Linked DNA regions of Oryza sativa Japonica Group. The protein of the gene in region 2 binds, or shares a complex with, the protein of the main gene of each other region. Links are inferred from orthologs where the notes say so. Each region holds a gene or a part of one and is shown on either strand. Other genes may lie near its edges.

Region 1 (4,308 bases), on a different chromosome or scaffold from region 2:
CTGCTCTCAAGCCTACCTTTTATTGCCATTACACCAGTTGCATCTTCTACCTTAATGTGACCATGTAACAGCGTGCTATATGTGAAGTTATCAGCAGCAATACCTTCATATATTTCAACAGCCTTCTTGGTGTGACCAACCTTACATAGACCATTTATTACTGAATTGTATGTTACGATTCCAATCTTTATCCCCTTTTTATCCATCTCTTCAAGCAAAGAGAAAGCCCTATCCAAATATCCCTTTTTGCACAAATTGTCAATCAAAATTGAGTAAACATATTCATCCACCACCACTCCTGTCTGTTCCAGTTTCCTCACTATAGAAAAAGCATCATCCAACCTGTTTCTCTTGCAGAAACCACCAATCAATGATGTATAAGTGATCAAATTCGGCTTAGCATCCCTTCGGTTCATCTCATCCAAGAATCCCATCACTTTTTCCACACTACGTTCTCTGCAAAGTCCATCAATAACAGTAGTATAACTAACTACATCAGCTGCAATGCCCTTATCTAACATCACCCGATGCTCACGGAGCCCTTTCATCAATAACCCGCTACTCATGTATCCATGAACCAAGCTGCCATATAAAACAGCATCACCAACCAACCCCTTCCCTTCCATCTCCCTTACCAATTGTGCTGCCTCAGTAGTTCTCCCTACACGGCCAAGCACATCGACAAAAGCGGTTAATGTGATCAAGCCTGGCTCAAATCCATTGAACTCTCTCCTCACCCTCCTATAGAATTCCAGCCCATCCCCAGCCTTCCCGACCTTGGAGAAGCCTGAAATGATCACGCTGCAAACACGATCATCCACCTGACACCCCGCTGCAGCCATTACGTCGAACACCTTGAGCGCGGTCTCCATGTCACCGCGGGCACACAGCATCGTCAGGGCCACACGATACGTGGACGGAGAAAACACGAGCCCGCACTCCTCTACGCCGGCGGAGAGCACCTCCAGCGCGCGGCGAGCATCGCCGCGCACCGCGCAGGCCCGGCGGAGCAGCGCGTCCCAGAGGCGGCGCGCGGAGGAGGTTGCCGGGCCGGCGAGCGCGAGGCGCGCTGCCGCGTCGCGCGGACGGGAAGAATCTAGAAGCGCCGAGGCGACCAGGAGGTGGGTGCGCGCGGTGGGGCGCACGGAGTTGGCGACCGCCTGCGAGGCGAGCGCGCCGACGAGGCGGTGCCTCCGCCGGCGGAGGAGCGCCGCCAGTAGGATGTCCACGCGGCGCGGCGTGACGGCCCTTCCGAGCTTGACCAGCGACGGGAGCGGCGGTGGTGGTCGGGGCTCGCCGCCGGCGAGCGGCATGGCGGAGGGTGGTGGTGGTGGCGCCGCCGCCGCGTGGGAAGCGAAGCGCAAACGTTCGAAACGTTGGAAGCCGATGGCGTGGGCCGAATTTGGATACGAGCTTGTTTGGATCTGGGCCTGAATAGATATGGGCTTGTATTGGTTCTGGGCCTGTTTGGATATGGGCTTATTTAGGTGAGGCGTTTCGAGTCGGAAGCGAGAAGGGGAGAAGAGGAAGATGCAGCAAGCGCAGGCGTCGGCGGTGGTGGCCGCGCCGGTGGCGGCGGCGGCGGCGGCGGCGGCGGGGGCGACGGGGCACCAGCACGAGGGGGCGAGGGGTGACGCGCCGCCGAAGCAGGTGGCGCAGGCGATGGAGCGGCTGGGGCGGGCGGGGCGGCTCATCGCGGACATCCGGCTGGGCGCGGACCGTCTGCTCGAGGCGCTCTTCGTCGCCGGCGACGCGCCCCCGCACAGCGCCCCGCAGCACGTTGAGAAGACCGCGCTCGCCGTCGCCCAGGAGGAGGCCGCCATGCACCGCCACTTCGACGACCTCCGCGCGCTCGGGAGGTAAACCCATCTCCGCCCCGTGCCCCCACACTCTCCGATTCAGAAGTTTTTCATCGATTCCTTAACCTTTGACTGTTACGTCGCAAAATACAACTAATTCCCTCCGAGAAGAACCATTCCCGTCATGATTCCACGGTTGCAGTCTCAAAATGAAAAAGGAACATTCCCGTCATGATACCACGGTTGCAGTCTCAAAATGAAAAAGAAATATTCCCGTCATGATACCACGGTTGCAGTCTCAAGAAGAAAAAGGAAAACCCTTGTCTAGATAATTTCTGGAAATTGGTGGCTGGGATATTGATTTAACTTCTTTGGATTGTATGATTGGACTTTTTTTAAAGTAATAATCTCCTTCCCAGTTTAGGCATGGCAGCACATTTTTTTTCCACTAAATTGTTCTGTAATAATGGTTAATCACCATAAACTGATGCCACACTCTTCTTTGGTGTTATCCAATTGCTTGTATCTTGTGAAACCCTTCTACCTATGAAACCTTGCTACGAGAGATGCACGGACAGGCTTAACTGCTCAACTTTGGTATATGAACTTTAGCATTCTAGAATATTGGCTGGGTGCCTGGGTCTATCAGATTGGGATGCATTTCTGGAACTCGTGTTCCTTGGCTTGTAATAGAGCAATATTTAACCTTAATTGAACAGCTTCAGCTTGAACTTGTTTTGGGGCTGTTTGGATCAGGGACTAAAATTTTAGTCCCGGTCACATCAGATGTTTAACACTAATTAGAAGTATTAAACGTAGATTAATGAAAAAATCCATTTCATAACCTTGAATTAATTCGCGAGACAAATCTATTGAGCCTAATTAATCCATGATTAGCCTATGTGATGCTACAGTACACATGTGCTAATTATGGATTAATTAGGTTTAAAAAAATTGTCTCGCGAATTAGCTCTCATTTATGCAATTAATTTTATTATTAGTCTACGTTAAATACTTCTAATTAGTATCCAAACATGCGATGTGACAGGGACTAAAATTTAGTCCCTGGATCCAAACACCACCTTAGTGCCACTCAGGGCTCGAACTAGTTTTAGTATCACTCGTGGATGGTAAGGATGTAGGGTAGGTGCTCACTCTATAATATTGTCTCAGCAGAGCAGTTATGTGTTGGGTACAATTGTTTACATGTGACCACTTGACCAGTCGTTTGTTGAAGAAGTCTGCAGGCATTTGGAAAATCCATGTTTCATGGCAACATGGTACTATTCTGTCTGATGAATAAAATGTCCAAGCAATATGAACTGCTTGTTAAACGATGGTTTTTGAGTCTTTCTGCAACCTGAAGTTGCTAGATAAACGGAAGATGAAATTTGCAGGTGATATAGTTATGATTTTAGACAGAATAGTTAGTTTGTGAAAATCCTGAAGTTAGGAGTACTAGATAAGCTTAAGCCATGTGACTGAGATTTTTTTAAGTCAAAGGATATTAGGAGCCATCTTCAATAAAGTTAGGTATGTGAACAGGATGGATTCACTCGATTTTGCTGGTGCTTTCTTATTGTTCTTTCACAGTATTCTTGTTATAGTGTTTGGGTTAGTTGTGCTTGTTGCTATTCATGATGTTTTTACTTTGTGATGAACCATCAATCATTGCTTACACAGTTCTCCTGGTAAGTTCCAATTATTTTTATTGAACTTCAAGTTTCAAGTTCCACTATTTCTTCATAAGTGTTGGCCTAGCCAACTGAAAGTAAAGATCTAGTTTTTAAACTGTAGCCTAATAAATATCTTGTATCCATTGCTGTTAGGAAGGCAATTGGAAGAGTCTGGAGTTCTAAATGGAGCCCTTAAAGCCAGAGGCAATTCATGGGGCTTGCACATGCCACTTGTTTGTCCAGATGGTGCAGTTGTGGCATATGCTTGGAAGCGTCAGCTGGCTGGTCAGGCTGGTGCATCAGCTGTTGACAGAACTAGGTAATTTCATTACCATCATTGTTGTGTTGTATGTTTGCTGCCACAATATGATGTGCTTATTTGTCTTATTTATATTCTGTTGATGTGTGAGATTTCATCAACCGTGCATTGCAGAATGCAGATTAAATATTTATACCATGTTATTTCTTCCTGCGATATACGATAATTTTCTTGGCCGATAAATTTGTACTGTTGTTTCCCTCTTTCCCCTTTAAATTTGTACTGTTGTTTCCCTCTTTCCCCTTTTTCCCTTATTTCTCCTTTTTCCCTCTTTTGTTTCTTCTTTTGCACTTTGCTTTCTCTAATCCTTCTACTATGATAATTACATTCTTCCAAGGTGTGGAGTGCTTTTGTAGGAATTGAAGTATTAGATCAGTTCTTGTTTTCGTTGCATCCATATTTTATTTTGATTTTACACAGAATGCATCGGAAATATTCCAACGCCCTTCATTCATGTGCTTCTTTAGATGTATGTACTTATGTTGAAGGCTTCAAGCCTTCGGATCATCCCCTA
Region 2 (4,220 bases):
ATAAAAGGAAAATATAAAGTCCTTATCGGACACTAAACACACTTTTCTAAAGATAAAAAGGAAACTAACAAACTATTCCTAATTAATAGATAAACTGCCATGCCGCATCCTCTTTAAACTCGGTCACTTAGAGATAAGCTTCCTTTAGTAGATTGATTTCCTTAACCGAATATAGCAGGAATTCGACTATTGGTGACTTGATAACTCTCATCGGCTGATTCCGAGATGCTACAGCCGATAATGATTCTAAGCCGATGACGCCTTTGTCGATTATCAAATTTCACTGTTAATAGATAGCTCAGTTTTTTATAAATAGAAAGGAGTATTTGCCGCCTAAATATTTTCTTTGATGATACAGCGTATATTGCTAATCAATCTTGATCGCCATTTACTAATCCAAGATTTCGCTACTACATTAGCACCTTGTTTTGAAAAGGATGCTAAAAGTACTCCATTCTTTTTCTATTCAAAAAAGAAGAAGCTATACAGAGCATAAATATTTCTTTGATCCTACGGTGTACTACTGTGCTATACTATATCAAACCATCGATTGGCATTTACTAATCCAATACTATTTCCTCGCACCATGTTTCGAAAATGATGCCAAAAATAGTCCATTGGGCCTCAACAATTAATAGTACTCCTAAAGCACATTCTCCATTCCATAAAAAAACCACCCTATTACCGAAACGTGACACATTCTAATACCACAAATATATTTATATAGATACAATCCAAGTTTACTTTTTAAAATTTGAGTGGCCTACGGCGGCTACGGTTGCATGCACGTATTTTCTTGGTTCCATAAAAAAAATAACATAGTGTTGAACGTCTATTCAGATTTATAGTATTAAAATATATCATATTTCGTACTAATTTAGTCTTTTATAGAATTGAGAGAGTACTCTATTCATCTAAAAATGGACAATCCTTCGTAAGTTGAGTTTTTCTTTTGGGATGGAGGTGGGTACGTGCATACAACTGGTTCACATACTATAGACACTTATATATGAAACAAATAAGAGGATGATCCTATTATATAATAACAGTGATATTATGGTAGATGATGCTCACCTACCCAAGTTTGAAAACTAAACTTGAATTAAGTGGATATCAAACGGGAATCATTAGCCCAATAAACAAAAAACGAATGCTACTATTACCAACCAAACACTACAGGAAAGAGTAGTACTAGTCCCACTCCCACCAACAACAGTTGAGATCCTCTCCAGTACTGCATGTGCCGTACTGCTCACTAATATGTGGGCCCGAGGGGCTATAGGGCTCACATGTCAGGGAGCCTACTGCATGAGAGGACCTGCATCCCACCAACAACTCGACAGGGTCAAAGCCGAGAAACAGCCACGAGGCCGCCTCCCTCTCCAAAACCGTAGTGACCTCGCCCTGTGTGGCTGTGTCCCCAAACCCGGTAAAAAAAAGGGCCCCCCCGGAAAGTCCTAGACCGAGAAAAGCTGCGACCTCCGTTGCGCGAGAGAGAGAACGAGACGAACGGAAGGAGTTGGGAAAGGGAGACGCGAGATTTGTTGTTACCACTAGGAGGCCATGGTGGTGGTGGTGGTGTGCGTGCGGGGGAATTAGGAGGAGGAGTAGTTGTTGTTGTTTGGTAGAGTCGAGCTTGCGTAGTTCTCGTGGGCTCTCGTTTTTGCGTTGCGTGTGCCTCGCCATCCGCCGCGTCCCTATCCAACCCCCCTCCCCGCATTCCCTCTCCCCCTCGTCGTCGTCGTCTTCCTCCTCCTGCGGCGGCGACGGCACAGATAAGATTTGGTTAGGAGCTGTTTTGTTTGTTGGGTTGAAATCGTCAAGTAACGTGGACGTGGGGGTGAAGCAAAGGAAGGGAGGGGAGATTGGGTTTGGGTGGTGTGAGGATTGATTTGTTTTTTTTTTTTGGGGTTTTCTCTTCTTGATTGATTCGTTCTTGGCGTTGAGGAGAGGCAGCGGTGTTCGTTAGATTGATTTTTCGCTGTCTCGGGAGAATTTCGCTTTCCCGGTTGGGGGATTCCCTCGGTGGGGGGCATCTGATTCGCGATCGGGTTGGATTAGATTCTTTTGGTGCAACGTAATCTGATAAGGGGAAAAAGAAATTTCAAGATTGTGAGGAGGAGGAGGAGGAGGTGATCGAGAGAGGGCATCGATTCTTGGTGGTGCCAGGGGAGCCATCGGAGTCGTGGGGGTGGAGGTGGAGGTGGGGGGAGCCCGATCTCGGGTGGCCGCGGCGGCGATGGCCGACCGGCTGGATCGGTGGCGCGAGCTCCTCCGCGGGGCGGCCGGCTCCGCCGGAATCTGCGACGTGATCGAGAACGCCATCCTCGTCGCCGCCGCCGACGCGCCGCAGGAGCTCCTGCGCCGCCGCGACCGCATCTGCGAGATCCTCTTCACCGCGCCGCGCGCCCCGCCCTGCCACCACGGGTGCGGCAGCGCCGCCACCCCGACCCCGGCCACCCCCGTGGAGGAGGACAAGGGCAGCGTGCGCCGCGTCCCCGAGAAGCAGAGCAAGGTGGACAGCAGCAGCAACGGCGCCCTCGGCGGCGGCGGCGGCCGCCGCGACGACGTCGATGACGACTCTGACTCTGACTCCGACGACGAGCGCCTCCGCCGCGCCGCGGCGAGCAACTACGGTCACAACTACGATGATGACGACGAGGAGGAAGAGGAGGAGCAGGAGGCGGCGCCGGCTGAAGAGGACGAAGAACAAGAGCTGGACCCCGAGGCTGTGGAGCTTGAGGCACTCACCAACGAGATCGACGAGGAGTCACAGGTCGTCGGCGAGGTTCTCCGCATCAAGGACCTCTTCTTGCACAAGGAAGATCATGTATGATGAACTATTCCCAGCTTTCAGTTCTTCCATGAGTAAGAGTTGTGCCATTCCTCAACAGGGACTTAACATTTGATCTCAACTGTGGTTTTCGCAGTCGGATGCTACTTTGTTCGAATCACTGAGGAGGCTGCAGCTGATGCAATTGTCCGTTTCCACGCTGAAGGTACTGTGTTGGATAGCGCATATGAGCTATGCGGAGTGACGCATAGTGGTTCTGTTTGGTTTGCTAATCTCCGATGTTGTTTGTTGTAGGCTACTGAGATTGGGAGGGCTGTTAATGGGCTGCGGAAGCACAACTCGCAGCAAATTCGTCACCTTGTGCGCACTCTCATTGAGTAAGTTCAATATGCTTGCACTAAATTTCATTCTCTAGGGCTGATCTAGCTTTTAATTTAGAGAACTTGCTGAAGCAAATTGATACTCTACTGTACCTATAAGTTTCTGAAAACATGATACGAGTCTACTGATTTAGCTTCTGTATTCTCCAGTCTTTGTACTACTTGAGTGAATTATTTACCTTATTTGTAGTGTGGTTATTAACCAATTTTGGAAACATTGTTGACGTCTTAAAACATTTTTTTTTCAGAGGTTGGAAAATTTTGGTTGATGAGTGGGTCAGCACCACTAATGTTGCCCTTACAGGTAATAAAAGTTATTTTGTTTCATATCGCGTATGAGTCATCAATTTGTAAGTGAATGTTCACCTCTTAACATGTAATGGATCTTTTGATCTGTAGACAACTCCCCGGGCTCTTCAAAAACATCTGTTGTCGATGATGCTGATGATGAAGGGCTTCCTTCTCCACCTCTGGATGAAGGGGCGTTCTTTGCAACCCAGACTACTGCTATTCAACTCTCTGAGGTACTAATTTTTGTTTGTTCCTGGTATCTGGATTGTTTTGGTCCAGAACACAATTCTAACTTTGCATTGTTGTTTTTCTTTCTGCTTCATCTTCCTGACCTAAAGTTCTTTGATGAAATGGATGAAGATGGAAGTAAGTACAACAACTCAAATTACATAGTTTCCCTTTTTTTTCTGTGCACTATAATAATTCAAGTTATACATTTTATGACAGACTTGAGACATAACAATGATGGGAGCCTTGGAAATAAGAGAGAAAATTATGGCAGGAGGCCTACAAGCCATCCAGCTTTGACAAAGCAAGAGCCTCCCCGTAACATGGGAGCTGTTGAAAAAGTTCAATCCAGGAGGCCGGAATTGGCAAGGCAAGAGCCATCAATGAGGCAGGCTAACCCACAAACCCCTCAAAATTCAAGTTTGCAAGTCAAACAGCAGGCCATGCTTCACAAGCAATCTAAGCCCTTGAGTTCTGATTCTGGACCTGGGAGACCATTAAGGGCAGCTCCTCAGCAGAAGCCCTTT

Evidence for each region. Proteins that work in one complex are often made in the same cells at the same time.
Region 1: probable mediator of RNA polymerase II transcription subunit 26b (region 2) and mediator of RNA polymerase II transcription subunit 27 share a complex: the UniProt entries of both Arabidopsis thaliana proteins name them as parts of the mediator complex. The link is inferred for Oryza sativa Japonica Group from reciprocal best matches to the Arabidopsis thaliana genes AT5G05140 and AT3G09180.

Annotation. Positions count from the first base shown.
Region 1 is NC_089035.1:8,936,447-8,940,754, forward strand, and holds the start of mediator of RNA polymerase II transcription subunit 27, read left to right. Parts: upstream 1-1,505; 5' UTR 1,506-1,530; coding exon 1,531-1,859; intron 1,860-3,632; coding exon 3,633-3,794; intron 3,795-4,308. Other genes in the region: pentatricopeptide repeat-containing protein At5g57250, mitochondrial, read right to left, coding at 1-1,313. UniProt on the Arabidopsis thaliana protein: Component of the Mediator complex, a coactivator involved in the regulated transcription of nearly all RNA polymerase II-dependent genes.
Region 2 is NC_089039.1:20,347,255-20,351,474, reverse strand, and holds the start of probable mediator of RNA polymerase II transcription subunit 26b, read left to right. Parts: upstream 1-1,414; 5' UTR 1,415-2,239; coding exon 2,240-2,830; intron 2,831-2,930; coding exon 2,931-2,999; intron 3,000-3,088; coding exon 3,089-3,171; intron 3,172-3,422; coding exon 3,423-3,478; intron 3,479-3,573; coding exon 3,574-3,698; intron 3,699-3,803; coding exon 3,804-3,831; intron 3,832-3,912; coding exon 3,913-4,220. UniProt on the Arabidopsis thaliana protein: Component of the Mediator complex, a coactivator involved in the regulated transcription of nearly all RNA polymerase II-dependent genes.